Anolis sagrei: one gene and its partners. The protein of the gene in region 1 interacts with the protein of each later gene in a pairwise test. Links are inferred from orthologs where the notes say so. Each region holds a gene or a part of one and is shown on either strand. Other genes may lie near its edges.

Region 1 (7,495 bases):
TTATAAGTAGCTCACATTTACGGTACAGCATATTAAAAACCAACAAACATTTTATTTACAAAGCACATGGAAATAAAAAAGATTCACTTGTCAGTTTGGTTTTCATTTCCCTTTTGTGTAGCTCTCAACATCTATCCGCCTCCAAAAAAAACCTCTTCAAAGCCACTGCATCCAAAGTTGGTTGGGCAATTAAAAAACCCCACTACTGTTTTTGGGGATCTCTAGAAGTGGCAGCTTTGTATTAATACCACCACACTATCGCAACAAACCCAGCACTGATTTCACATTACAATTCTCAGACCAAAATCAAGACTCCTGCCCATACTGACCAACCTGATCTAAGTCTTGATCATTTCATAACATGGATAGGTGCAGAAAAAATACATTTAAAAACCCACTGCACTGATTTCAATGGTAACATAAATGATCTGGGTCCTCCATGAATTAAGAAGTAGATATATGTAATATCATACCAGTGTTTATGTCAATATTCACACATTAACAGACAAATCATAGATTAATTACTATGATTCTGCATCCAATTCAAATACAGGCAGTCCCCGAGTTACAAACATCCGACTTACTAATGACTCATAGTTAAGGATGGGGGAGAGACAAGAGGAAATGAGAGAAATGTACCCCTTGGATTGGAAATTCACTCCTGAAAGAGTTATCATGGGGAAAAGGGCTCTCCACTGTTTTCACAACAAGCCAATTTTTTTTTAAAATCCAATTATCACAAAAAGTTTGGGGAGAACTGGATTGGGTATTCAATAATGCACTGAGTTGTGCATCATTGTATTCCGCAGACTGCAGCTTTTACTGTTGCCTACTGAATTTGCCCATTCCTCAATGGTGAGTTTTTCTCAACCTGTACAGTGCTCCTACTCTTAAGTGAATGTCATTTCCTGAATTCAAATCAATGTCATAAATAAATACACAACAGGTAGGTTTCAGATTAAATAAATAAGTGCTACTTAGCCCCAATTACTAATACAATGCATCACATCTACTTATTATTCCTTAATATCACCACAAAGTTCCTCCTATCTTTATACAGTTAGACCTTGAACACATAAAATACGCTGTACAAATCAATTCACAGTACATGAAGACATGTGCATGCTTCTGAAGAAATTATATAATATTATATTTTCATATGGACTAAATACAAAGTTAAGTCTACATTGCAATCACTAAATGTCTTTATTTGAAAAGTCGAATTGGCTTTTCTCCATATCTGGAGAGAACTGCAGAATAGTTTGATTCTAAGCATTTGTATTCAACTGTAGGTTTGTTTTATTTCAAAACCGACATATCATCAGGTAAGAATCCCTTCTCTGGAACTGGAATTCTGAAATACTCCAAAACCAAAACCTATTCACATGGGTGGCTGAGATACTGTGGCCTTTTGCCTTCTGGTGGTTTAATATACAAAGTTTGTTCTATTAAAAAAATTACTAAAAATACTGTACATAAAATCACCTTTGGGCCATGTGAATAAGGTGTGTACGAAATGTAAATTAATTTTATGTTTAGATTTGGGTTCCACCTGAAAGATGCCCCATTATGTGTATGCAAGTATCCTAAAATTCCAAACACTTCTGGGCCCAAGTACTTCAGATACGGGATATTCAACCCGTAGTACACAATCTGTTATTGCTCAAGCAGAGGGGGCCTGGTTAGTACTTCCTGAGAACTCATCAGCTTTTCGGGAATCCATAAATTCATTCCACATTGTCAAATCCTATCCATTCCAGTCATTGTTGTCCTTTGTCTATCTGCCAGATCACCCAAAGGCCTGGTCCCACGTCCATGTTTTTAGCTTCCTTCTAAAGGAGAGGAGGGATGTCGATGACCTAATTTCCCCAGGAAGTGAATTCCACTGGTGAGGGGCCACCACCGAGAAGGCCCTGCTCCTCGTCCCCACCAATCTCATTTGTGATAGAGGTGGAGCCGAGAGCAGGGCCTCCCCAGAAGATCTCAAACTTCAAAGCGGGACGTAGAAGGAGATGCATTCAGACAGATACGCTGGGCCGGAACCGTATAGGGTTTTGTAGGTCAAAACCAGCACTTTGAGTTATGTATTGTCGAAGGCTTTCATGGCTGGAATCACTCAGTTCTTGTGGGTTTTTTCGGGCTATATGGCCATGTTCTAGAGGCATTTCTCCTGACGTTTCGCCTGCATCTATGGCAAGCATCCTCAGAGGTGAGGTCTTTGAGTTATGCTCGGAACTGGATTGGCAGCCAGTGGAGCTGACATAACAGAGGGGTGGTATGCTCCCTGTATGACGCTCTGGGGAGTAATCTGTCTGCCGCCCACTGGACTAGTTGAAGTTTCCGAACAATATTCAAAGGCCACCCCACGTAGAGTGTGTTGCAGTAATCTATTCGGGATGTAACAAGAGCGTAGACCACTGTGGCCAGATCTGACTTCCCAAGTTTAGTGAGGCATCATCACTCTGTGGCAGATAAGGCCAAATACCTTGTCAAACTACAACTCCCAAGATTACACAGCATTGAGCCAGGCAGTTTAAAGTGGTATCCAACAGTATTAATTTGTCAGTGTGGTTGCATTTGTGTAACTAAACAACTGAATAAATGCAGACTTACCAAATTCCCACTGGTATATTTTGGGTTGCGGTTAACAATATGGATTTAGGCCTGGAAATAACCCTCTCTCCCCCTCCCTTTTGAAATAAGTTCAAAGTTGTCCTTGTGGTCAGTGAGATGAAAGACTGGAGCTCCCATTAGGAAGAGAGGAGGAGCTCATTGTGGGGCAATGGCTCCCTTTTTCATAGAGAGGGAAAGACGCAGGAGAGAGACACTCCAGAGCGAGGGAATGAAGATTCAAATTTCTCAGGAGGAGAGAGAGAGAGAGAGAGAGAGAAAAAAGAGTCTCTCAACACAAGTGCCTCACTTCCGTTCACGCTCTGGCAGACACCGGAAGCTGCAACCGACTCCTTCATCCGTTACGTGCGGTCTAAGAAGCCCCGTTGATAGTGTTTGGGGGCGGACTTGGAGCCCCGCCCCTTCGCCGCCGCTTCTGTCTCTCTGTGGTTACCGCCGCCTAGAGTGGCCGCCTGTGACGTCACGTCCTCTGTTCCTGAGGTTGAGAGGCCAGTGGTGTTGAGGCGCTTCAGGTGAGAGGGTGGGAAGTGCTTGCTCCACAAGTTACCTTTTCCTTCCTTTGAAAAATCCATAGGCAGGCAAGTGGCCACAAGTATCCACATAGGGAAGTCAGGATGCATTTACACAAGGCATGGGGAAACTTGGGCCCTCCAGGTGTTTTGGACTTCAACTCCCACAATTCCTAACAGCCTCAGGCCCCTTCCTTCGCTTAAGCTTCTGAGGGGGGAAAGGAAAGGGCCTGAGGCTGTTAGGAATTGTGGGAGTTGAAGTCCAAAACACCTGGAGGGCCCAAGTTTCCCTATGCCTTGTGTAAATGCAGCTTGACATCAATTAACTGTAATAGTTAAGTGCTCAGATGTACCAGTCCTATGTTTTCTATTTCTAATCATGCTACCCATGCTCTATTCTGCCTTGGTTAGACTACACCTGGAATAGTGTGTCCAATTCTGGGCACCACAATTCAAGAGAGATCTTGACAAGCTGGAATGTGTCCAGAGGAGGGCGACTAAAATGATCAAGGGTCTGGAGAACAAGCCCTATGAGGAGCAGCTTAAAGAGCTGGGCTTCTTTAGCCTGAAGACGAAAAGTCTGAGAGGAGACATGAAAGCCATGTATAAATACGTGAGAGGAAGTCATAGAGAGGAGGGAGAAAGCTTGTTTTCTGCTGCTCTGGAGACTAGGATGCGGAACAATGACTTCAAACTACAAGAAAGGAGATTCCATCTGAACATTAGGAAGAACTTCCTGACTGTGAGAGCCGTTCAGCAATGGAACTCTCTGCCCCGGAGTGTGGTGGAGGCTCCTTTAGAAGCTTTTAAACAGAGGCTGGATGACCAGTGAGATGAAACACAGTAGTTTATTGTAGATATGTAGATATTGACAAGCTGGAATGTGTCCAGAGGAGGGCGACTAAAATGATCAAGGGTCTGGAGAACAAGTCCTATGAGGAGTGGCTTAAAGAGCTGGGCATCTTTAGCCTGAAGACGAAAAGTCTGAGAGGAGACATGATAGCCATGTATAAATACGTGTGAGGAAGTCATAGGGAGAAGGGAGCAAGCTTGTTTTCTGCTGCTCTGGAGACTAGGACATGGAATTATGGCTTAAAACTACAAGAAAGGAGATTCCATCTGAACATCTCCAGCTCATCCCTTGTTTGGGTATCAGCCAGCACGTCAACGACTTAAATCAAGACATAGTTTTCTAAGATCTACAGACACTCGCTGGAACACCTCAGCAAGCGAGAGTCCAAAAGTGGCAGGCTCAAACCCAGAACCTCAATCAATGGCTGATACCAAATGAGAGACTCCCCCCTGGGCACACAGAAAACTGGGCGACTTGGTAGGCGCTGAACAGACTGTGTTCTGGCACCACAAGATGCAGAGTCAATCTTAAGAAATGGGGCTACAAAGTGGAATCCACGACATGCGAGTGTGGAGAAGAGTAAACCACAGACCACCTGCTGCAATGCAACCTGAGCCCCGCCACATGCACAATGGAGGACCTCCTTGCAGCAACACCAGAGGCAGTCCAAGTGGCCAGCTACTGGTCAAAGGACATTTAATCAGCTACCAAGCTTGCAAACTTTGTTTTGTCTGTTTGTTAAAAGTTTGTTAAAAATGTAATACAATTGTTTGGTTGATACTGACACGATAAATAAATAAGTAAATAAATCTGAACATTAGGAAGAACTTCCTGACTGTGAGAGCCATTCAGCAGTGGAACTCTCTGCCCCGGAGTCTGGTGGAGGCCCCTTCTTTGGAAGCTTTTAAACAGAGGTTGGATGACCAGTCGGGGGTGCTTTGAATGTAATATTCCTACTTCTTGGCAAGGGGGTTGCACTGGATGGCCCACGAGGTCTCTTCCAACTCTATGATTCTATGATTCTATTCCTTATGAGCCACCCTGTAAGGCTACTACTCAGTGGAATTATCTTATTGGTATCATTCTCGTAATAAATAGGGAGGGATCTGCGGGAATCAAAAATCTGTATTCACAAAAAGTTTTTGATACTGCCACCAAAGACCCTAAGTAAACTTACCACATATGGAACAACGGGGCAGACATCTTTATAGATGGTAACTCGTCGAAAAAATGGAAAGCATATAAAAATGGAGATGAAAGATAGTGTTGGTATTTCCCAGGAATCTATAATAAGCTTTTTCCATGTATGTTTCATTTACATAACCATGAGTTCCTATGAAGGAATGTATTTAGGAGAATCATAGAGTTGGAAAGACCGCATGGACCACCTAGTCTAAACTCTTGCCATGCAGGAAAAGCACAATCAAAATACCCCCAACAGATGACCATTCAGCCTCTGTTTAAGAGCCTCCAATGAAGAAGCTTCCACTACACTCCGAGGCAGAGAGTTCCACTGCTGAACAGCTCTTAACAGTCAGGAAATTCTTTTTAATGTTTATGTAAAATAACCTCTACTGTAATTTGAACCCACAGCTCCAAGTCCTATTCTCCAGGGCAGCAGAAAACAATCCTGCTCCCTCTTCCTTATAGCATCTTTTCAAATATTTAAATATGGTGATCATGTCTTCTCTCAGTCTTCACTTCTACATGAAGCCGCTGGAGGAGATAATTCAGAGTACAATGTTCTCCGAGCTCAATACAAAGTGCTGGTTTTGACCTATAAAGCCCTATACGGTTCTGGCCCAGCTTACTTGTCCGAACACATCTCCCTCTACGTCCCGCCTCTCAGTTTAAGATCATCCGGGGAGGCCCTGCTCTTGCTCCCGCCAACGTCACAAATATGTCTGGAGGGAACAAGAGACAGGGCCTTCTCGGCTGTGGCCCCCTATCAATGGAACTCGCTTCCCACTGAGGTAAGATCTGCTCCATCCCTCCTGTCATTTAGGAAGAAATGGAAGTTGTGGTTCTGGGACCAGGCTTTTGGACAACAGGCATAGATAGCACTTTGGACATGGAATTGGATATGGAATTGACTGGAACGATGTTACGGCTATTAATACTGTTTTTTACTGTTTTAATGAATGTTTTACTTATTGTTTTAATTGTTATTCTATTGCTGTGTTATATGTAGTGGCATTGAATTGCTGCCAGATGTAAGCTGTCCTGAGTTCCCCTTTGCGGGTTGAGAAGGAATGGGATAGAAATACCGGAAATAAATAAATAAATAAATTCACTTCTGAAGGCCCAGTTCATGGTCTCCAGACTTGATCATTTTAGTCACCCTCCTCTGGACACATTCCAGAAAGATAAACGACTAGTAAAACATTTATTTTTATTTTGTATCAAAAGCATTGCATAAATTAGTATAAAACTGATAAAAATAGGAGCACAAGAAGCTAAATATGTTTTGACCAAAAAAGGACAACAACAACAACAACGGCATTGTCTGTAGCCTCCAACACTTCTTCCTCTGTACATGAGGCAGTAAAACATCAATGCTATGCACCACAAATCTTATTCATTCTCTTTAAAGCAAAGATGGACAGTGAGGTACAGAGGGATGGGAGGATCCTAGATTTGATTGACGATGCATGGAGAGAAGATAAATTACCGTATGAAGATGTGGCAATCCCATTGGTAAGTAAATATTCCAGGTATGACTCTGAATTGATATTCCCCATCCTTTTTATTTACAACCATATATTTTACCATTCGTCCAAACCGCTCCCAGTGCTTATTGCAACAATAAGTTCTAATATTGTAAACCACCGTATTTCCCATGCTGTGAGAAAGGTGACATCGAAATTTCAAAGATAAATAATCTTTAAAAAAACTAAAAAACCTTAATAAATTAACCAAAACAAAACCGTAGTGGCAGTGCAGATGAATGAACGTGTGGATAGTTCATAAGTAGAGCCTAGATCTATTTCAGTTTCATTCCCAGATCGGCGCATTTTACTTCTCACTACATCTCATAAGAAATGCATAGTGGCTTTCAAGATTACTGTGTGTGTACATATAGAACTTTTGTCAGCAAGCCACTGCAGATGAATTCTAAGAATGTTTACTCAAAAGATTTTCTTTGTTTGTGATTATTTTGTTCTATGTGTTCCTATGTTCATCAGTGCAAAGATGTTTTTCTCAGCATTTTAAAACAGTTTTAATATATTTCTGCACCCAGAATGAGCTTCCTGAACCAGAGCAAGACAATGGTGGAACAACAGAATCAGTAAAAGAACAAGAAATGAAATGGTCTGACTTGGCTTTGCAATATCTTCATGAGAATATTCCTCCAACAGGAAACTAGTCTATTGTCAATGTCTCGTGCAGCAATTTCTCTGCAAATGTATTTCTTATTGTTCTTTTCAGCCTTCTTTGCTATGGAAGGAAGGTGTATGTGGAAAATGTCTAGGCTTAAATCACAAGAAATTATTGTCATAGG
Region 2 (7,361 bases), on another chromosome or scaffold:
AAGCCCGGAAAACTCAAAGCAATGCAGTGATTCCGGCCAAAGCCTTCAAAAACAAATATAATAATAATAATAATAACCTTTCCTTATGCTATCCAAAACTACATTTTAAAAAACAACCGAGTTACCAGTCTTGTTTGTAACCCAGAGGCTGCCTGCACAGGACAATACCGTCCCTATTACATGACTGTTGCCACAAGCATCTTGCACAAAACTTGACCTAAATCTCACTCCTTAAGACTAGTAGCAGCCCTCACTGGCAGCACAACCGACCCATCAAACTCATGGCCTTTCCCATTTCCACTCAGGGAAATAAAAAGAAAATGAAAAGAGGCGGGGGGCATACAAAACAGTGAGAGGAAGAACTTTATAAATCAAGCCAGGCCTGTGCCTGAGTGAAGTTACCAGTCTTGTTTGTAACCCAGAGGCCGCCTGCACAGGACAACACCATCCCTATTACAGTAGAGTCTTGCTTATCCAACATAATCGGGCCGGCAGAATGTTGGATAAGCAAAAATGTTGCATAATAAGGAGGGATTAAGGAAAAACCTTTTAAAAATCATTTATGGTTTTACAAATTAAGCACCAAAACATCATGTTTTACAACAAATCGAAAGAAAAAGCAGTTCAATACATGGAAAAATTGAAAGCAAAAGCAGTTCAATACATGGTATTGTTATGTAGTAATTACTGGATTTACAAATTTAGCACCAAAACATTGCAATGTATTGAAACAGCTGTGGATCCGGGCGCAAGGCAGATTGCATTGGATAATACAGAACGCTGGATGAGCGAAGGTGGCAAAAGTATGATAGCTGTGACCCAATCCCGAGATAGGGCAGCGAGTGAGAGACGCAGGTGCGACAGAGTCATGGCAAGATAGTTTGCCAGAAAAAGGGGGGGACAGAAGGGGGGGGCAACAAACAGCCAAGCATAGTGCTTAAGGCTATCCGGATATCGTATGCAAACACATTCAAATACGTAACGTCTTCACTTCTCTAATTCTGACCCACATCACAAAACTAGCATTGGTCCCGGCTATCATACTTTTCCTAGTTGGATATACAAGACTCTACTAGGTGACAGTATGATAGCTGGGTCCAGAAGCTCCGAGCATTACACACATTCTGCAACGACTGTTGTGAATAAGGAAAGGGACCACGTGAGGGTAGAAGGACAGAAAGGAGGGGAGGGTTAGGATAAGTTTTAGGGAAATGTTTAGGGAAAGGTTTAGGGTTTGGATCAAGTTTAGGATAAGGTAGGGTAAGCTTTAGGGTTAGGATTAGGGGTTAGGCTTAGGATAAGGTAGGGTAAGGGTTTTCATTAGAGTTAGGATTAGGGGTTAGGCTTAGGATAAGGTTTAGGATAAGGTAGGGTAAGATTTAGTGTAAGCTTTAGGGTTAGGGTTTGTGGTTAGGCTTACGGTAAGGTTTAGGATAAGGTAGGGTAAGCTTTAGGGTTAGGGTTTGTGTTAGGGTTAGGATTTGGGGTTAGGCTTAGGGTAAGCTTTAGGATATGGTAGAGTAAGCTTTAGGATAAGCTTTAGGTTTAGGGTTTGTGTTAGAGTAAGGGTTAGAGGTTAGGCTTAGGGTAAGCTTTAGGATAAGGTAGGGTAAGCTTTAAGGGTTAGGGTTTGTGTTAGAGTAAGGGTTAGGGGTTAGGCTTAGGGTATGGTTTAGGATAAGGTAGGGTAAGCTTTGAGGTTAGTGTTTGTGTTAGGGTTAGGATTAGGGTAAGATTTAGGGTTTGGGTAAGGGTTTGGGTTTTACCATTAAAGAACTCTTACATTCCTTCTATAATATCGCGTTGTGCAAACAGCGCTTCTGAAGGAGTGAAGTGGAAACACTGTCACGCTCCTAGCTTCCGGACCCAGCTATCATACTATTACCTTCTATTGTACACAAGCATTTTGCACAAAACTTGACCTAAACCCCCTCCTTAAGACTAGCAGCAGCCCTTGCTGACAGCACAACCGACCCATCAAACTCATGGCTTTCCCCATTTCCTCTCAGCAGCCTTCAGGGGAATCAAAAAGCAAACGAATGGGAGGTGCGGGAAGGAAAGAAACATACAAAGAGGCGCGGGGGAGAACTTTATAAACCAAGCCAGGCCTGTGTTGGAGTGAAGGCGCTGCTTAAAAGCATGGCTGCTTCCTCCCACAATGCAACCCGGGCCTCCATCCTCCTGGGCAATGTCAAGACCTCTCTCTCTGTGTGTCTCTCTCTATTTCTCCCCGCCTTGGGAATGAGGAAAGGAGAGGAAAGGGAGGTGGTCGATAGAAGCCGGTACTCACATCCGTCTATCTCCTCCTGCAGGTCCTCCTGAAGCAGCGACAGATCTGGATTTGGGGGAGAGGGAAAGAGGAAGGGTGTTACATCAAAACAATACGGCAGGAATATAAGCTGCAGCTGAGGGAGGGAAGGGGCTTCCTTTCCCGGCCTCGCCCTCTTTGTCTCCGAGGGGCGTGAAGGCCTCACCTTTTCCTCGCGCTGAGGGGGAATCGAAGGGCGAGGCCTACCGTGGGCCAAGGCGTCCCACAAGCCCTTCCTTCCCTCCCTCCTTTGTACACTACATGTATGTGTGTGTCCCCCCGCAACCGTGTCCCCGACGCAGGCGCGGAGAGAAGGAAGGAAGGGAAGCAGGAAGAGAAGGAAGGAAGGAGGCACCCCTTCCTCAGGCCGGTCTCCTGTGAAGAGTAGACTTCCCTCTTTTCCTGGTGCTTCTTTTGAGGAAGGAAGGAGGGAGGGAAGGGGAGAGGGAGGCGCGCGCAACCTACCCGCCATGTTTCCTGAGGCCTCCCCGCTTGGGGTCGACCATGGAGGGGAGGCTGAGGCGGAGAGAGGCCTTCTAGGCCCAAGCGGTGCTTCCGGGCGTCCCCGGGAGAGTCTCCCGCGAAGGCAGGCGCCCGAGAGAGAGGGAGAGGCGGGCAGAGAGACAGGGAGGGAGGGGTTTGGGCCGGACACCAACGCCACCGCTGCTGCTGCCCCCGCCTTCGCCTCTGCCGGGGAGGGAACCAGGGCGAGCCCCGGCAGCCCGAAGGAAGAGAGGGAGGGACAGAGAGAGAGAGTAAAGAAAGGAAGGCAGGCCTCCGCGGGCCTCTCAAGGCCGGCTCTGCAGAGGACTAGAAGCAATACCTTGCCCCCGCTTGCCACGCCAGGCCTCCTTTTGCTCTGTTCTTTTCGCCACTGCTCTTTTGCCTGGCCCCGAAGTTTCCAAAAAGGAAGAGAATGACAGGTTGACATATCTTCAGCCTTCTTTGCCAAAGGGGTTCCTAAAACCATCAGAAATATATATTTTCTGATGGTCTTTGGAGACCCCTCTGAAACCTCCTTGCAACCCCTCCAGGCCTCCTTCCCAGCTCCTTCCCTGAATTCAGATTTTTACATTCCTCTTCTGGCTTTTGCTCTGTTCATTTCACCACTGCTCTTTTGCCTGGCCCCCAAGTCTCCTCCTGGCACCGATTTTCCTACTTTGGCTGTTTAGTTTCTTCCTCTGTTCAACTACTTGACTTATGTGTCAAACTCAATATTGAATCACTGGGTTGCTGTAGATTTTTTCGGGTTATATGGCCATGTTCTCGAGGCATTCTCTCCTGACGTTTCGCCTGTATCTATGGCAAGCATCCTCAGAGGTAGTGAGGTCTCTTGAAACTAGGAAAATGGGTTTATATATCTGTGGAATGACCAGAGTGGGACAAAGAACCCTTGTCTGCTGGAGCTAGGTGTGAATGTTACAACTGACCACCTTGATTAGCATTTGATGGCCTGGCAGTTTTTTGGTGTGGCTTGCTAGTGCCTGAGGGAATTTTTTTGTTCAGAGCAGAGGAGTGCTTTTGGTGGGAAGATTCACCATCTGTTTCCAAAAAGGAAGAGAAGGACAGGTTGACATATCTTCAGTCTTCTTTGCCAAAGGGGTTCCTAAAACCATCAGAAATATATATTTTCTGATGGTCTTTGGAGACCCCTCTGAAACCTCCTTGCAACCCCTCCAGGTCTCCTTCCCAGCTCCTGCCCTGAATTCAGATTTTTACATTCCTCTTCTGGCTTTTGCTCTGTTCATTTCACCACTTCTCTTTTGCCTGGCCCCGAAGTCTCCTCCTGGCACCGATTTTCCTACTTCGGTTGTTTAGTTTCTTCCTCTGTTCAACTATTTGACTTATGTGTCAAACTCAAGGTCGAATCACTGGATTGTTGTAGGTTTTTTCGGGCTATATGGCCATGTTCTGGAGGCATTCTCTCCTGATGTTTCGCCTGCATCTATGGCAAGCATCCTCAGAGGTAGTGAGGTTGAATCCTTTTCCCCTGCCCTGTCATTTTTATGCTTGGGCAGAACTGCAACTCCCATGTTCCTCATCAGGACTAGAACTGATGACCGTTGTAGTACAGTCACATCCAGTTTGTTCTGTTTGTTTATTTATTTATTTATTTACGGCGCTTATATGCCGCCCTTCTCACCCCGAAGGGGACTCAGAGCGGCTTACAATATATATTTTCATACAATATATTATATTATTAGCAAAGTACAATATCAGTATATATTACTATATTGCACTATACCATTATATTGTAATATTATTAGTAATATTACATGTAATTAAATATATAATTATAATTATAATATTGAATTATTATTACTAGTATTATATTGTATTACATTATAATATTATAAATATTATATATATATACAATATACTATATTATATTATTAGTAAAGACAAGATGGCAGTGTCTTCTGCTCCCCTCTGTCTTCTCTCTGGCCAGAGCAGTCATTGGTGCCAGAAGGGGGAGGGGCCTCTGAAGTGATGATATAGGCAGAAGACAAGATGGCAGTGTCTTCTGCTCCCCTCTGTCTTCTCTCTGGCCAGAGCAGTCGTTGGTGCCAGAAGGGGGAGGGGCCTCTGAAGTTTACTTAGGATAGGCAAAGGGAAAGGTTTCCCTTTGACATTAAGTCTAGTCAAGTCCAAATCTCTGGAGTGGTGCTCATCTCCATTTCGAAGCTGAAGAGCCGGCATTGTCTGTAGACACCTCCAAAGTCATGTGACCAGCATAACTGCATGGAGCACCGTTACCTTATTTATTTATTTACAGCTTTTATATTCCGCCCTTCTCACCCCGCAGGGGACTCAGGGCAGATTACAGTGTACACATATATGGCAAACATTCAATGCCAATTTTTTTACATACAATCATACACAGAGGCTATTTAACTTTTTCTCGCCGCCAGGGGAGCTGTCGCTTTCATCGTCCATCTGCGACGCTGATGAAGCACTTCCACATTCCCCGCATGCTTCACCGCAGGAATGCTTTGCTGGAGTCTTCTTTTTATGGCCTCATAAATCAGTTAATATTAGCTTCCCCACACTTTAAGGTGGTACCTAATTTTCCTACTTGACAGATGCAACTGTGTAGCCTGGTTGTAGTCCGGGTTGGAGTGGGTTTCCAACCATTGTGTAGCCTGTTGTTGACCTTTGCAACTTTTCGGGTTGCAAAGGTCAACAACAGGCTACACAATGGTTGGAAACCCACTCCAACCCGGACTGGCTTCGAACTCATGATCTTTTGGTCAGAGTGATCTTAATGCAGCTGACACTCAGCCAGCTGCACCACAATCCTGCGCCACAGAAGCGGTACTTACTGATGTACTCACCTTCGCATGTTTTCAAACTGCTAAGTTGGCAGATGCTGGGCCTGACAGCAGGAGCTCACCCACTCTCTGGATTTGAAACACCAAGCTTTCAGTCAGCAAGTTCAGCAGCTCAGTGGTTTAACCCACTGCGCCACCATAGTTGGAATAATGGGGATTTAATTTAAATCAGGCAAGGGCAAACTTCGGCCCTCCAGGTGTTTTGGACTTCAACTCCCACAAATTCCTAACAGCCGAAGTTTGCCCATGCCTGCTCTATAAGCTAGGTCGCATTACACCCACCCACCCCCAAGATGGATGGATGGTATCCTTGAAGTGACTGGCTTGACTCTGGAGGAGCTGGGGATGGAGACGGCCAACAGGGAGCTCTGGCTTGGGCTGGTCCATGAGGTCATGAAGAGTTGGAAGCGACTGAATGAATAAACAACAATTACATCCCCCCCCCCCCAACCGTGGGAGAAATAAGATTGAATACTGTGAAAGCTACCCACTTGCATGGCTATTAGCCTCCTCCCAGTAGACTCAAATCAAAGGAAAGTTTCTTGAGAACCACCACTCCTCTTGGCATCCCCGCAGCAACAGCAGGAGAATCCCTCTGGGCAACTAAACCAGGAAATCCCAACTGGATGGCCCCCATGAGGGTCTTCCTCCAGGGACAAACCAAGAATGGGGCAACTTGGAAGTCCCTGAACAGATTCAGAAGTGGTGTTGGGAGATCAGAAGACAACCTGGCAAAATGGCATGAATTAGAACAGTGGTTTTCAACTTGTGGGTCCCCAGATGTTTTGGCCTACAACTCCCAGAAATCCCAGCCAGTTTACCAGCTGTTTGGATTTCTGGGAGTTGAAAGCCAAAACATCTGGCGACCCACAGGTTGAGAACCACTGATCTAGAAGAATCGTCCACCTTGTGCTACTGTGGAGCAGAACAAACAACTCAGCATCTCTATGCTTGCCCACAATGCCCTGCCTCATGCACAGAGGAAGAACTGTTTAAAACCGTAGTTCCCAACCTTTTTTTCACCAGGGCCCACTTAGACCAGGGACCACTTTCCAACATCAATACCAAAAGGGTTATGATCAGTTTTTGGTCAACTTTAGATTCAGTTTGGTTATTTGGGGTGCTGATTCAGAAAATTGCATTGGATAGACCGCATTGTATCTAGTTTCTTATACCAAACAAATACCATCCAGTAGTTGCCATCTGCTCGCTCACAGAAAACCATATTTAATAATCTACAGCTGATGTGGTCGTAGTAATCTTTTGTGGGTAATCAGCCTCTCCCCTCCAGACATCCCCGTTGCCTTGGCACCATAAGAGGATTTCGTGAGACCAGTCACTCTCGCTGCGTGGTTCTGAGGCAACTGCGTAGTAATGTGAAGCCGCGGACCATATTCTCATTCACTGATGGTCCATAGACCACAGATTGGGAACTGCTGGTTTAAAGCTATAGACAATGCAGTTGCTGTTGCCTATTTTTGGTCTAAAATTACTTAGCTGCTTGTGTTCCCTCTGTTTTGGTGATTCTCAATCTGTGGGTCTCAGATGTTTTGGCTTTCAACTCCCAGAAATCCTAACAGCTGGTAAATTGGTTGGAGTTGTAAGCCAAAACACCTGGGGACCCGCAGGTTGCGAGCCACTCCTCTATTTTATCAGTTTTATACTTGTTTGTTTATGCAATACTTTTGACACAAAATAAACAAACCTTTTCCCCAACCTCA
Region 3 (7,905 bases), on another chromosome or scaffold:
CAGGATAATATTTCCAGTGACTCATGGGAACTCAGTACTCCGACATCATCAGTATATTTGTATATCTTAGCAACTGTTTGACAGCTGAACACCTTGGCTTTTCCTTTACCCAAGTTTAACAGGATAGTAATTAAGGCCCCTTCTACACTGCCATATAATCCAGACTATCAAAGCAGATAATTTGGATTTTACACGGCAATGCAGAAGGGGCCTAAGAGGCTTTAATTTTACAGCAAAATATCAAAATTAGTAAATAAGCTATTCTTGTTATTGAGATAATAATGATCCAATGTATATGATGTTTTACAAACAAACAAGAGAGGTCCCTTTCCAAGGAGACTGGAATCTGAAATGTGACACAGCAGAATGCTACAAAGAAAGATGCAAGTAAGACTGACAAAGGAAGAATATGTACAGTTGCACGTGACAGAAGCAATCACATTTGTAACAGTTTGTGAAAGTGCATCAAGGTCTAAGAGCAAAGACTGGTTCAGGGGAGGAAAACTGAAACCCTCAACCTACCCATGCTCCCTTACTGTAGATTTCTCCCCTATGTCTCTTAGGCTTCAATAATAGCAGTCAGAATGGAATGCAAACAGTGGAGAGACCATTCAATTCACCTTCCCTACATTTCCTCATGATATAAAATTATGAAGACACAATTTATACATATCAAATATAAAAACAAATCATGCTAATTTTTATCTTTTTGACTCAAACCAAGAGTGAGGGCATGAAACAATATATTTAATAGTGCACTACAGCATAATTCACAAAAAGTAAATATTCATAAGCTCTTTACAGTTGTGGCCAGCACTTTAACCTGATTTATGAAAGTTTTATGTGTGTGGGAGAGAACGGCAAATTACAGGGTCCAATAAAAAGGAATTCAGACTTCCCAGGATTTTACACAGAAGATGTGGGAAGAAGATCCTTATTCACACAACACATATTTAAACTCTAGAATTCACTAACAAAACCACCAATACTTATTAGTCATGATATTATATATTTCCAGTATTAGAAGTTGTATATTTTGTATGCCAATCATAGATAAGCACAAGTGTGAAGGGAGAGATATGACATGTTTTAGAATTTTTAATTTTAAAAAATTTATTGATTGATATTGTCCGTTGTTTATATTCAGTCAAAGTGTGCCTTGTTTTGATGATATATAATTCTATTTTATGTGTGGCACTTTAGTGCTTTGTTAGATATGCCGAGTCCCTTCAGGGAGATGGTGGCGGGGTACAAATAAATAATAATAATAATAATAATAATTGCTGATGCACTCATGTTCTGCTTGTGGGTTTTCAATTAGCATTTGTTTGGTCAACATGGGAACAGAAAGGAGATCTGATAGGCCTTTGGTCTATGTATAACCCTCAAAAGATTTGATACTGGCCTGAACTGACAAATAAGTTTTGTTTTAGGGAGTTGGGAAAGTTCAGCTACTGACCAGGGCACCCAGAACTTTATCATGATTTTACAATGAGGGAGGATGTTGCTCAACTACAAACGAGTTATCTCCAAAAAAATACACTTCTTACAGAATGGGAATCTGTCAGCTGTGACTTATTTGCTATTACTTCAGCCCCATTTAATGCAGTTTCAAACCAGAATTAAAGTATGCTGGTTTAGCTGTGCAGACGATTAAACAGGAAATTCTGGAACCAGTTTGCGGCCAGGATGGTGATGACAAACCACAGAGCATTGGTACATATGAAGGGGTTTTCTTTCATCCACTTCTGTGTCTGGCTGCCAGTCTGATGGTCAATGTAGATGGGGCCTTAGTTCTAGTAAATGACTCCCCAGCTCCTGCCTCCCAGGTGTTTCAGATTTCAGTTCCCAGAATGTCTGATTACTGGCCAAAGTATTTCACGCTTTTGGGAATTGGAATACAAATCACCTGGAGGCCTAGAGAGATGATTTCATCACACTAGAGAATGAATCCACTTTAAATCCGGTTTCTGCCTGCCACAGAATTCTGGGGTTTGTAGTTTAGTGAGGCTGTTAAAGGCTCCTCCCTAAACTACAGACCCCAGAATTCTGCAGAAGAAGAAACCGTATTTAATGTAGATTCATTCTCTAGTGTTATGAAGTACTTAGAGAATGGGTGTTCAGGTGGAAACCCCAGAACTTTAACGTGAGTCAAGCATGACCAAATAGAAAGACGTGGGGGAGGGAGATGTTGCCAGAGGCTCCCTCGACCCGGATGCTCTTCAGATGCTCCTAGTAGGCCCGGTCCTTCGAGAAAAGGCCAAGCGACTGGCCCCGGGGCGGGCGTTGAGCTGCGAAGAGCGGAAGGTGAAAGAGGGGAAGGAGTCGAGGCAGGCGGGTGCCCCTTTCGGCATAAAAGAGGGCCCAGGCCGGCGGGAGCTGGAAGAGGCAGGCGCCAGAATCGCGCGAGGCGGGTCCGAAGAGTCACGAGGCCACGCGGGCCTTGAAGGAGACGCCACGCGCGCGGCCCCCGCCTCCCAATTCGCCCCCCCCCCCACTCAGGGTGCGAGCGACACGCCAACGGTCACCTCGTGAACCCCCTCCCGGCTCCCTCAGGGGACACTCGCCACCGCCCTACTCCGTGAGTGACAGCGCTTCGAGCCAATCGCGGCGAGCCGTGCCGCTGGTTTCAACTAATAAGCGCCCGCTAAGGGGCGGAATCTGCCCCGTTGTCAATTAGCGGCCAATCGGGGAAGGAGGGAAACGGGAGCTTTTTCGGGAAGGGAGGGGGGCCCAGCCGGATTCGACAACACCGTGCCCTAGTACCCGGACATCCTCCCTGCCTCCCTCCCTGCCAGGCCCCGCCTGGTGCGCCTTACCAGCTGTCTCTCTCGCGGAACCTGCTGCTGCTGCTCCTCCTGCTACTACTGCCGCCTCCGCCGCATCCCCACACAGTCGCTGACACACTCCGAACCCAGCCTCATCCGGGGCAGCAGGCGTCAGTGATACGTCACAGAGGGAGGCGAGGCCCGGCACGAGAAAAGCTCAACGCCCTGGAGGGGCGGGGCCAAGAGAAAGGGGCGGGATCATGCAGATGAGGCGCCGCTGGCGGGAACCCGCGTCAGTTCTCGGTAGGCGGGGCCACAATGCTGCCTCGGCATTGTGAAATACGGAATGCAGGACCTGAACAGGCTTAATGCTATACCACCATGGGATTTGTAGTTATACAGGGCCTCTGTTGTTCTCTGCCAATGAGTGCTGGTCCCTTAAAAGGTAAAGGTTTTCCCTGACACTGTCCGATGGTGCTCATCTCCATTTCTAAGCCGAAAAGCTGGCGTTGTCCGTAGACGCCTCCAAGGTCATGTGGATGGAGCGCCGTTATCTTCCCGCAGAAACGGTCCCTCTTGATCTACTCACACTCGCATGCTTTCAAACTGCAAAGTTGGTAGAAGCTGGCGCTAACAGCGGGAACTCACCCCGCTCCCCGGATTCGAACCTGGTGCCTTACAAAACTACAAACCCCATTAACAAAGTCCTATTGATAATACTGGAGAACTTGTGTGTGTTTTATACATGCCACCATCGTTATGAAGGTATACACGGGATTATGCTTTAAACGGAGAGAAAAGATGTTTGACAGCTGTCAAAATTTTCACACGGCCCCCTCCCACATAGCTGAATAAAATCCCACATGATCTGCTTTGAACTGGAATTAATAGTGTGGACTCAGAAAACCCAGTTTAAAGCAGATACTGTGGGATTTTCTGCCTTGATCTTCTGGGTAATCTGGCTGTCTGGAAGGGCCCTTAGATCGTAGTGTTAGGACATGCCAAAAACTGTTTAATGTGGTGACATAAAGTGTTGATTTCTTCAAGTTTGTCATGTGATGAATGTTCTAGGAAAACAGGGTCAGGGTAGGATTTGATACCAGCTGAAAACATAAATTATCCTGTTTCTACCACAGGAGAAATAAACAAGGGCCTTCCACACAGCCCTATATCCCAGAATATCAAGGCAGAAAATCCCACATTATCTGAGTGTGGACTCAGGTAACCCAGATCAAAGAAGATATTGTGGGATTTTCTGCCTTGTTATTCTGGGATATAGGGCTATGTAGAAGGGCCCTTGGTTTCATACTGGTTCCCCCCTCCAGCCCAAAGCTACATAAAATGGCATGCAAGTCTGAGTATTCTCTCCACAGACAGGCTTTCTGGGGAAGAGACTGTATCAGAGTAGATCAGTAACCTTGGCAGGATGTGGTATGGTTTAGGCTAAGATGTTTACAACTGTACGTCATCTTCACAGGAAGTGAGCAGGAAGTTAAAACAGGAAGGAAGAGACGAAACAGACAGAATTGTTTCATAAGTATGCCAGTCTGACTGTCTCCAAAAATTACTCATGATAAAAATTCTTCTAAATCTTTTAAACAATAGTATGTTTATCACAAATATTGTTCCAAGCAAGATAGGTTTTTCTGTGTTAGTTTCAGCACATACTTTCTTATGTAGTTCTTTTTTTGCAATTTCCTTTTGGCTTCATTTCTGTACTTCCTGTTGCATTGTTTATTTGTCCAGTGACCTCTAATCTATCTTCTACCTCAGGACCTGTAACTCTTTCCTGAATTATCTGAACTTCACCTTGTCTGCTCTCATACATTACCTTTTGTCTCTTTGTTACTCACCTCAATCCCATTTCCTTTCTTATCTTATGTAAATTTCGCTAGCAACATTCTGTGGTTTGGCTTTAGTCACATGCTTTCTTAACATTTTACATCTTTAGCTCTTTTAATATGGTCTTATATGTACATAAGAGTTTAGGTTGAGACTAATATAGTTGCACTTGAGTCTCATTATATACAGTGTGAAAAGGCAGGTGTGACTTTAGACTACTGAGATATAGTTGCACTTAATGAATCTGAAACCCACCCAATATGCCAATTAGGCAAACTTCATTTTTCATTTGATTCATATGCAAAATGTAATCTAATCAGTGCTAGTTAATTCAGATTCCCCAGTTTTGTTTGATTTCAAGCTGGTACACTGCTAATCCCGATTAACATCATTTTACAAAATTCCTTCTAATGCTCTTGGGACATTTTTGGGGTGTTACTCTTTTTTCTCTACAGTATCAACAAAGATTTCTAATTATTGTCAGAGTTCATGTGTGTATTCAGTTCAATCAGAATAATTAGTGGAAGCTGGAATGATCCAGACAAAACTAAACATAGTGGACTAAATCTAATTGCTAGCCCCAACTAGGGTATCCCTATAGAATCAATGAAACTGACCTATGCATATGTGCTATTACATCACCTCTCAACTTGTGACCCCATTAATTTTATATGGTTTTCTTAGACAAGGAATACGTAGAGGTGACTTTGCCAGTTCCATCCTCTGAAATATAAACTACAGGACCTCATATTCTTTGGTGGTCACCCATTCAATTACTAACTGGGACTGATCCTTCTTAGCTTCCAAGATCAGATAGGCTTTGGTGCCTTTAGGATATTTAGGCCATGGGTTGACATACTATTCAGCAATTGGTTTTGTGAATCTGCTCTATCTGGATTTAGGCTTTTTATTCCCACTGGTTTGAACATGAGTGTTAAGTACACGGAAATCTACAGAGAAATGTTTTTAAGAAACACCTTATATTGTTGCACAATCTATTAATTCATAAAGGTTCAGCTGTAATTAATTAAGTTTTGACCAGAGGACAGTGTCCCATTCAAAGTCAACAGGTGGCATTTTAACCATTTAGATAGCAATGGCCCAAAGGATGAACAACAACTTTCTTGACAGTACCTACTTATAGTTAGAGCTACAGTTATCTTGTTTTCAAGCAGTCTCTGTACTAAATACTACCCAATCGCTGATCTGTGTGACTGGTAATTTCCTTAGGATTCACATAGGGAAATTGACTCTTCAGACATTTCAGACTAATGTATTCCTCATTATCCCTGAACATTTTTCATGCTGTCTGAGGCTAATGGGAGTTAGAGTTCAATAGCAACTGGGAGGGATAGGTTTCCCACCCCTGCCTGTACCAAAGAACTATGAATATCTGAAATGAGTGTTGCCAAAGGGACAGAGGTAGATTGCTCATCGTGTGGTAATGATCACAGCAGCATTCTTGGATGCTTCTCCGCACATTGCTGCACTTAAATTCCTATACTTAACTGTTCAGCCTGCCAGAATGCTGCTTGAGACTGTGACCCTGTAACCTTCTCTTCCCTGAGTGCAATTGTAGCTCAGCTGTATCTGAGGGAGCAGTGGACCAATGGCATGTGTCTATTCCCTTCACTTCCCCTGCATTCGCTGCTGCACCTGACACATGGCAACATCCCCTCCAAATTTGTCTTTGTCCATTGCTGACGGGGCTTTCATGGAATTAACAAAGAGACAGTGTTGGGGCCCCTGTTTCCAAACTTGCATTATAGGGGTTGCCTGTCTGGTTAACACTGATTTAAAGTTGATGTTTGTTTTCAATGGACTTTTTAAAAAAAAATCTTTTGCTTGCACCCTGTTGTAATCTGCACATGTTCCCAGGCATTCTTGATGGGCCTGGAGTCCTTAGACTCACAAAGGCACAGTCGCTTAGCATTAATTCTTCCCTGTGCTTAGCAGCCATTGGTCTCCTTTAGCTGCGGTGGGGCTGGGCTTCCCAGGCAAAACCAAGTCATCCATTGAAAAGCAAAGGGATAAAAGAGACATAATAGATTCTATTGAAGTGAGATTTGTCTCATGGGGTTGGAGGTGGGGTGATGGGGGTGTGGAGGAGCCTGAGAGCAGAGACTAAGGAGTGTCTCATGAAATTCGGGGTCAGGAAGTCTCCCAAGGCTTTTGCTCTCTCTGTTTTGATCACATGAGAATGCACATGGGGTGGGCATTTTATCTGAAGGAGCAAGTCTGGGAAGATAAACAACCTTTCACAACCTGCTAGCACTGTTGTGAATGCAATCTATTCAACAGTATATACACTGGCTCTGTGCAACACCTGTTTTTCTTTTGGTGTGCCCACTACCTCAATCTGAATTTGTAATCTTTGCTGTTGGAATGTTAAAATCCCAGTGTTGAGGCATTTTGATTCAGGTGTGTTGCCTGAATGAAATCACATGGCTATGTATGATGACAAAAAATAATGTCTAGGTTGTAAACAGTTACCTGTTTTGATGAGCTTAGAAAGTTACTTTCTTTGGACTACAGTGGTCACACTGACTGAGAGTTCCTGGAGGTTATAGTCCCAAATAACCTTTCTAAGTCAAAAGGTATGACAGCAATTCTGATGGGAATGCTTGAACAAATAAATCACCTCTGGCAATAATTAATAAAGGTGGAATCTAGAACTATGTCTGTCCAGTCTTCCATGCCCCTTTTTCAAATAGACTGTGCTAAAGTTCCAAACAAGCAATGGAGATCATAGACACATCATCTCCTTGTGATCTTAAGGTGGGATGGCACATCTTGCCATTTTGAGGCATTGCCACCCTGTTCAGACCACAGGCCGCCCTAGCTGTGATGCTGTAGTATGATTATCATTGTCTGAGATCAGAGGTAGAAGATACGATTTATTAATCCTTATGTGACCGATGTTATTTCTCATATTGTCTAAGGAGCCACAAGATTCCTTTACATCAAAATCAGAAACTTCAAGTTTTGCTTTTGGCAAGTCAATTTTTTTGACATAAAGTACCTATAATGGGTCCCTAGTAGCCAAGATGACTAAACTGTTTCTGTTGTATTTGGCCATGTCATGAGACAAAATTACTCACTTGAAAAGTCAATAATGCTTGGTAAGGTGAAGGGCAGCAGGAAAACAGGAGGAACACATTCAAGATGGATAGACTCAAAAAAGGAAACAATGGCTCTGAGTTGGCAAGACTTAAAATGTGTTGTTGATGATAGGTTGCTTTGGAAGTCTGTCATTCATGGGGTCAAAGTTTAAAGCATTTAACAGCAAGATATG
Region 4 (7,157 bases), on another chromosome or scaffold:
ACAGGTGACTCGGAGGCACATGCACACACAGGCCCAAGTGTTGCACGTTACACAAATTAGTACTGTGAGGTCAGGAGGAAACCCGATACCACCCATGACTCCAAAACAGCCCCAGGGAGAAAAGCCCAGCACACTGGAGCTGGGAAGCAGTGTTTTCCCCAAACCCCTAACAACACACAGTTAATCTCCAGGAGGATTTAGTAACAGGAGTGGAGCAGCCCCAGCGCGGCACATTCCTCCCAGCTCCTGGTCTTGTGCGAGGGAACCACCTGTGCGCCAGTCGGCCTCCCAGAAGCCAACGTTTGCTTTTTCACAAGAGAACCGCACTCTCGGCACTCTCACACACCATGTCACAGACCCATCTTGTTTTGACTAAGAGGTCAATGGCTTTGGGGCAAATGGTTTGCTAGAAAGCACCAGGCACTTGGCACCTGCTTCCGGCCAAAGGTCCCCTGTCCAACGTTGCCATCACAAGAGGGAGGACACTTTTCCAATTCCATTGAGAACCTTACCTTTTGGAGAGACGACGGTGTTGCACAAAGGTCCTGGGGCACAGCTGCTTTGCCCGCCAGCACCAGAGCGGCACACTCTGGGCATGCTCCAATGGTCAGCCGCTTACCGTCGTCCACCAGCAGACTACCAGGTGCCCGGAAGGAGCAAAGGAAGACAGGCAGGCGGGCAACCTCCACAGCTTTTAATCCCAGGCACCGCTTCCTCTCTTGCCGGCAGAAGAAGCAGACGAAGGCCTCCACTTTGTACTGCCTGGACCAGGGGCTGCTGGGGTGCGGTGCGTGGCTGCTCTCGTACTGGATCCACTGGCCCAGCAGGTCATGGTGGCACAGCACGCAGGCCGACACGGTGCCCGTAGAGTCGGCCGGACGGGCCCGAGGTGCCGGTGGGTACACTGTCAGGAAGGGGAAAAAGGGCTCCTTCTCGCCAAATCGGCCTGGAGGGTTGACACTCAGCTGGCACTCCTTACCCAACGGCGGTGGTCCTAATTCGGCCCCACAAATGTAACAAATAGACACTGGGCCCTGTTTGGTCAAAACAGAGTGCCTGGATGTGATGACAGCATTGTGCCCGGACTCCATGCTTGCAAAGACCCGGTGATACCTGCCCAGGAAGCTCTGGACGGAGGTGATGAAGTCCTCATTGCGGGAGGCACGGTACATGGCCCACAGGTCGCGCAGGACGCCGTAGCACTTGGGGCAGCTGCGCACCTCCCAGCGCTTGTCGGGACCCTTGGCGTTGGGTGGGCAGGGCAGGAGGCGGAGGAAGGGGAAGTGCATGGTGGCTTCGGCGTCACCGTTGAGGACCTTTGCTGGGACAGGGTGGCCCTCCTCGGCAGCATATTCCTCCCCGCAGAGATAGCAGGCCTCTCGCCGTGGGGTTGCCGCCCGGGGCTTGGCAGCCGGGTCCAAGGGCACCACGTAGAGGCGCTGCAGGACGGGCACGCCGGCCGCTTGGAAGCCCTGCCACTGCTGTGCCAAGGATGCGGCGCAGGCGGAACAAGCGACCGTGGTGCCGGTGGTGGGACTGATGGGCAGGGCGCCTGGCGGGGGGCTGTGGAGCCATAGGAAGGGGAAGAAAGGCGCCCCTGAGGCCTGCTCCTGCTTCTGGACGTGGAGCCGGTGACGGGCACCCGGTGGGAGGAGAGTCCCACAGACATAGCAGGCCACTTCGCTTGGCCCTGACGTGGACAACGCTTGCATCGAGGAAGAAAGAGACGGCAATGGTGGGTGCCTGGAGCCATTCATGACCTTGTGCTCGTTGTCACTCGTGATGTTGACCTCTTGGCTCTCTTCTTGGAAGGAAGCCTTGCTCACCTGGCTTCCTCCTTCTCCTCTTCCTCTTCCTCCCTTGGCAAAGGTGTGCTTGCTTAGCTCTCGCTCTCCCGCCAAGAGCGGTTGCGGCCTCTTCCTCTCCTTCTTGGGGACCAGCCCGTCTTGGGGTGCTCCCACCTTCCTCTCTCGGCTCCAAGGCTCGTCCCAAGGGGGTTCGGTCTCGGAAAGCGAGGACAGCTCCGAGTCCAGGAAAGGGGCCTCTTTCTCCTCTTCTTCTTCCTCTTCCTCTTCCTCGCCTGCTCCTCCGCCTTCGAAGTCCCAGTCTTGGGGTCCCACTGAGGGTCCTCCGGGCGGCCCGGCTTCTCCTTGGTGGGGCCTCTTGAGCCAATAGAGCCGCTTCTCGACGGGGGTCCGGCTCCTTTCGAAGGCGTCCCACTGCTCGGTGAGGAAGCAGCGACACACGGCACAAACCAGAGCCGTGCCCTCGCTGTTCACCGCCTGGGCCCCCGGGGCAGGGTCCTGGTGCCGCAAAAAGGGGAAGAAAGGAGAGGAAGAAGAGGAGGAAGAGGAAGAAGAGCCACGAGGAGCCTGGACTTGCAGCTTGAGCTCTCGGCCTCTTCGGATCCCCCCGCCACAGACGAAGCAGCGCAGCCAAGAGTCAGGAGACCCTCGAAGAGAAGGAGGTGAAGGAAGAGATGGAGAAGACCCCAAGGCATTGGCTCTTCCTCCCTCTCGCCTTTCCTCCTCCTCCACCACCGCAGCCATCAGGCGCTGCTTGCGGGAGAGAGGAGCTTCCTCCGGGCCCGGGGGGCTCATCTCGGACCCCAGGAAAGGCAGAAAGAAGGAGGAGGAGAAGAGAGGAAAAGGAGGAGGAAGCAAAGGAGGGGGAGAGATGCCGCACTGAGCCCACGCTGGCTCATTCTGCCGGCGCCGGGCGGGCTGCTCTGGCTCCTGCCTCTCTGCTCCTCACTCCACTGAGCTTGTGCAAGGCTTGCTTGGGCTCTTCGCCTCCAAAGCAGGGAGGAAGGGGAGGGGAGAGAAAACAAAGGGGGGGGGGGTCCCCTCCTGCAGACCCCGGCCCAGCAAAGGGGCGCTGCTGTAGGCGCCCCAAGGCTCTTCTCTGGAAGGAGGAGGAGGAGGAGGAGGAGGAGGAAGGGGTCCTTCTGCTTCCAGCTTCTCTTTCTCTCTCTCTCTCCAAGTTCTTCGCTTGTGAGTGGGAGGGAAAGAGGGAAGGAAGGAAGGAAGGAGGTGGGTCTTTGGGGAGGGGGCTCCAGGCGGGACAAGTTCAGCCCTTTCCTCGCCCAACTCGGATCCAGTCCAAGGCTCGCTTCACGCCCAAGCTTGCGCCCCACCTCCTCCTACTCACAAAATACTATTATTATTATTTTATTATTATTATTATTATCAGCAAACTTTGCAAAACTTTGCTTATACACTGAGACCACCCTCTCTGCCAGTGCCCTCCCCTCCCTCCTCCCTTGCTTCTCACAAAATACTATTATTATTATTGTTATCAAACTTTTCAAAACTTTGTTATACATTCAGACCGCCCTCTCTGCCAGTTCCCTCCCCTCCTTCCTCCCTTCCTTTTCACAAAATACTATTATTGTTATTATTGTTGTTATCAAACTTTGCAAAAATTTGCTATACATTCAGACCACCCTCTCTGCAGGTTCCCTCCCCTCCCTCCTCCCTTCCTTTTCACAAAATACTATTATTGTTGTTGTTATCAAACTTTGCAAAACTTTGTTATACATTCAGACCACCCTCTCTGCAGGTTCCCACCCCTCCTCCCTTGCTTCTCACAAAATACTATTATTATTATTGTTGTTATTATTATTGTTATCAAACTTTGCAAAACTTTGCTATACACTCAGACCGCCCTCTCTGCAGGTTCCCTCCCCTCCCTCCTCCCTTTTCACAAAATACTATTATTATTATTATTATTATTATTATCATCAAACTTTGTAAAACTTTGTTATACACTCAGACCACTCTCTCTGCAGATTCCCTCCCCTCCCTCCTCCCTTTTCACAAAATATTATTATTATTATTATTATTATCATCAAATTTTGCAAAACTTTGCTTATACGCTCAGACCACCCTCTCTGCTGGTTCCCCCCCCTCCCTCCTCCCTCCCTTTTCACAAAATACTACTATTATTATTATTATTATTATTGTTATCAAACTTTGCAAAACTTTGCTATACACTCAGACCACCCTCTCTGCAGGTTCCCTCCCCTCCCTCCTCCCTTTTCACAAAATACTATTATTGTTATTGTTATTATTGTTATCAAACTTTGCAAAAAATTGCTATACACTCAGACCACCCTCTTTGCAGGTGCCCTCCCCTCCCTCCTCCCTTTTCACAAAATACTATTATTATTATTATTATTATTATTATTATTATTATTATCAAACTTTGCAAAACTTTGTTATACATTCAGACCACCCTCTCTGCAGATTCCCTCCCCTCCCTCCTCCCTTTTCACAAAATACTATTATTATTATTATTATTATCAAACTTTGCAAAACTTTGTTATACATTCAGACCACCCTCTCTGCAGATTCCCTCCCCTCCCTCCTCCCTTTTCACAAAATACTATTATTATTATTATTATTATTATTATTATCAAACTTTGCAAAACTTTGTTATACATTCAGACCACCCTCTCTGCAGATTCCCTCCCCTCCCTCCTCCCTTTTCACAAAATACTATTATTATTATTATTATTATTATTATTATCAAACTTTGCAAAACTTTGTTATACATTCAGACCACCCTCTCTGCAGATTCCCTCCCCTCCCTCCTCCCTTTTCACAAAATACTATTATTATTATTATTATTATCAAACTTTGCAAAACTTTGTTATACATTCAGACCACCCTCTCTGCAGATTCCCTCCCCTCCCTCCTCCCTTTTCACAAAATACTATTATTATTATTATTATTATTATTATTATCAAACTTTGCAAAACTTTGTTATACATTCAGACCACCCTCTCTGCAGATTCCCTCCCCTCCCTCCTCCCTTTTCACAAAATACTATTATTATTATTATTATTATTATTATTATTATCAAACTTTGCAAAACTTTGTTATACATTCAGACCACCCTCTCTGCAGATTCCCTCCCCTCCCTCCTCCCTTTTCACAAAATACTATTATTATTATTATTATTATTGTTATTATTATTATTGTTATCAAACTTTGTAAATATTTGCTATACACTCAGAACACCCTCTCTGCAAGTTCCCTCTCCTCCCTTCCTTTTCATAAAATACTATTGTTGTTATTATCAAACTTTGCAAAACTTTCCTGGACATTCGGGCCACGCTACCCAAGGATTCTGCATCCTCGCTTCAACTATCCACACCTTGAAAATATTACAAAACAATAACAGCAATAATAAAAATATTAATAATAATAATTTATCATAATAAAATAATAAAAATAATACAACAATAATATAACAATACAACAATATAATAAAATATTATTAGCAATAATTGATCATAATAAAAATATAATAATACAATAATATAATAAAATATTATTATTGACCATCATTTATAATAATAATGATAAATGATAACACCTTGAAAATATTACAAAATAATAACAATAAAAATAGTTGTTTTGCTATTATCAAACTTTGGAAAACTTTGCTGTACACTCAGGCAACCCTACCCAAGGATTCCACATCCACGGTTCAACTATCCACACCGTGAAAATATTACTAAATAATAACAGCAATAATAAAAATATTATTAATAATAATTGAACATAATAAAATATTAAAATATAATAAATATAATACAACAATAATATAATAATGCAACAATATAATAAAATATTAACAATAATTGATAGTAATGATAATAACACTTTGAAAATATGACAAAATAATAAAAACAATCATAAATATTAATAACTGATAATAATAAAACATAATACAATAATATAATAAAATATTACTAACAATAATTGATAATTAATAATGATAAATTATAACACCTTGAAAATATTACAAAATAATAACAATAATAAAAGTTATTATTGCTATCATTATCAAACTTTGTTACACTCAGGCCACCCTACCCAAGGATTCCGCATCCACGGTTCAAATATCCACACCTTAAAACTATTATAACATAATAACAATAATAATAAAATATTATTATTACAGTTTTTAAACTTAACTGTACAGTTGATTTGCTGGCTCCACAGGTTCAGTATCCACGCTTCAACACATAGAAAATATTACAAAATTATTATTACTACCACCCTATCTGCAAGGTCCCCCTTTCCTTTTAACAAAATACTATTAATATTAATATTATCAAACTTTGCAAAACTTTGCTGCACACTCAGGCTACCCTAGCCAAAGATTCCGCATCCACGGTTCAACTATCCACACCTTTAATATATTGCAAAATAATAACAATAATAAAATATTATTATTATTGTTTTAAAACTTCACTGTATGGTTGCCCTGCTGTATCCACAGGTTCGGTATCCACGCTATAATGTTACAAAATTATATTACCATCCAATCTGTGGATTTCCTCCTTCTTTTTAACAATACTATTATCTATTATTATAAAGTACCAGCACATTTGAACAGGAAATAAAACTTTCAAACCAGGAACAGAAACTTTATCAAATTTGCCAAATATGTTCTGCATTCAATTGCAGAAAAATCCCAATGTATCTGCTATCTATCTATCTATCTATCTATATATATACACACACACACACACACATATAGCGAGAGAGAGAGAGAGCCCATGCATTATGCAAAGCGTTTAGTATACCATTGACATGTCTTTTCTCATAGGATCTCACTGAGGAAGGGAAAATAATACGGGGCAGAACAGGATTGAGAGGAAAGGCTGGTAAAACCCGTAGAACAATGTTTCTCAACCTGGGGGTCGGGACCCCTGGAGGAGGCACGAGGGGGTGTCAGAGGGGTCACCAAAGACCATCAGAAAACACAGCATTTTCTGTTGGTCATGGGGGTTCTGTGTGGGAAGTTTGGCCTAATTTTATCATTGATGGAGTTCTGAATGCTCTTTGCTTGAGCTATAAATCCCAATAACTACAACTCCCAAATGTCAATGTCTGTTTCCCCCCAAACTCCACCAGTGGCATATATTTGGACATAATGAGTATCCATGCCAAGTTTGGTCCAGATCCATCATTGTTTGAGTCCACAGTGCTCTCTGGATATAGGTGAACTACAACTCCAAAACTCAAGGTCAATGCTCATCACACCCTTCCAGTTTTTCTGTTGGTCATGGGAGTTCTGTGTGCCAAGTTTGGTTCAATTCTATCCTTGGTGGGGTTCAGAATGCTCTTTCATTGTAGGTG

Evidence for each region. The genes of interacting proteins can lie anywhere in the genome.
Region 2: the proteins of CEP63 (region 1) and PPP4R1 interact in a two-hybrid assay, tested with the Homo sapiens proteins (2 studies listed by BioGRID and IntAct). The link is inferred for Anolis sagrei from reciprocal best matches to the Homo sapiens genes CEP63 and PPP4R1.
Region 3: the proteins of CEP63 (region 1) and NDEL1 interact in a two-hybrid assay, tested with the Homo sapiens proteins (2 studies listed by BioGRID and IntAct). The link is inferred for Anolis sagrei from reciprocal best matches to the Homo sapiens genes CEP63 and NDEL1.
Region 4: the proteins of CEP63 (region 1) and GSE1 interact in a two-hybrid assay, tested with the Homo sapiens proteins (2 studies listed by BioGRID and IntAct). The link is inferred for Anolis sagrei from reciprocal best matches to the Homo sapiens genes CEP63 and GSE1.

The regions. Positions count from the first base shown.
Region 1 is NC_090023.1:225,698,483-225,705,977, forward strand, and holds the start of CEP63 (centrosomal protein of 63 kDa), read right to left. Parts: upstream 3,009-7,495; 5' UTR 2,921-3,008; intron 2,907-2,920; exon of another isoform or gene 2,614-2,906; intron 1-2,613. Other genes in the region: ANAPC13 (anaphase-promoting complex subunit 13), read left to right, coding at 6,592-6,690, 7,235-7,360. UniProt on the Homo sapiens protein: Required for normal spindle assembly.
Region 2 is NC_090024.1:64,871,015-64,878,375, forward strand, and holds the start of PPP4R1 (serine/threonine-protein phosphatase 4 regulatory subunit 1), read right to left. Parts: upstream 3,009-7,361; 5' UTR 2,781-3,008; coding exon 2,774-2,780; intron 2,673-2,773; exon of another isoform or gene 2,475-2,672; intron 2,336-2,474; coding exon 2,291-2,335; intron 1-2,290. UniProt on the Homo sapiens protein: Regulatory subunit of serine/threonine-protein phosphatase 4. May play a role in regulation of cell division in renal glomeruli. The PPP4C-PPP4R1 PP4 complex may play a role in dephosphorylation and regulation of HDAC3.
Region 3 is NC_090022.1:125,981,891-125,989,795, forward strand, and holds the start of NDEL1 (nuclear distribution protein nudE-like 1), read right to left. Parts: upstream 3,009-7,905; 5' UTR 2,820-3,008; intron 1-2,819. UniProt on the Homo sapiens protein: Required for organization of the cellular microtubule array and microtubule anchoring at the centrosome. May regulate microtubule organization at least in part by targeting the microtubule severing protein KATNA1 to the centrosome.
Region 4 is NC_090028.1:25,201,314-25,208,470, forward strand, and holds the start of GSE1 (genetic suppressor element 1), read right to left. Parts: upstream 3,009-7,157; 5' UTR 2,601-3,008; coding exon 513-2,600; intron 1-512.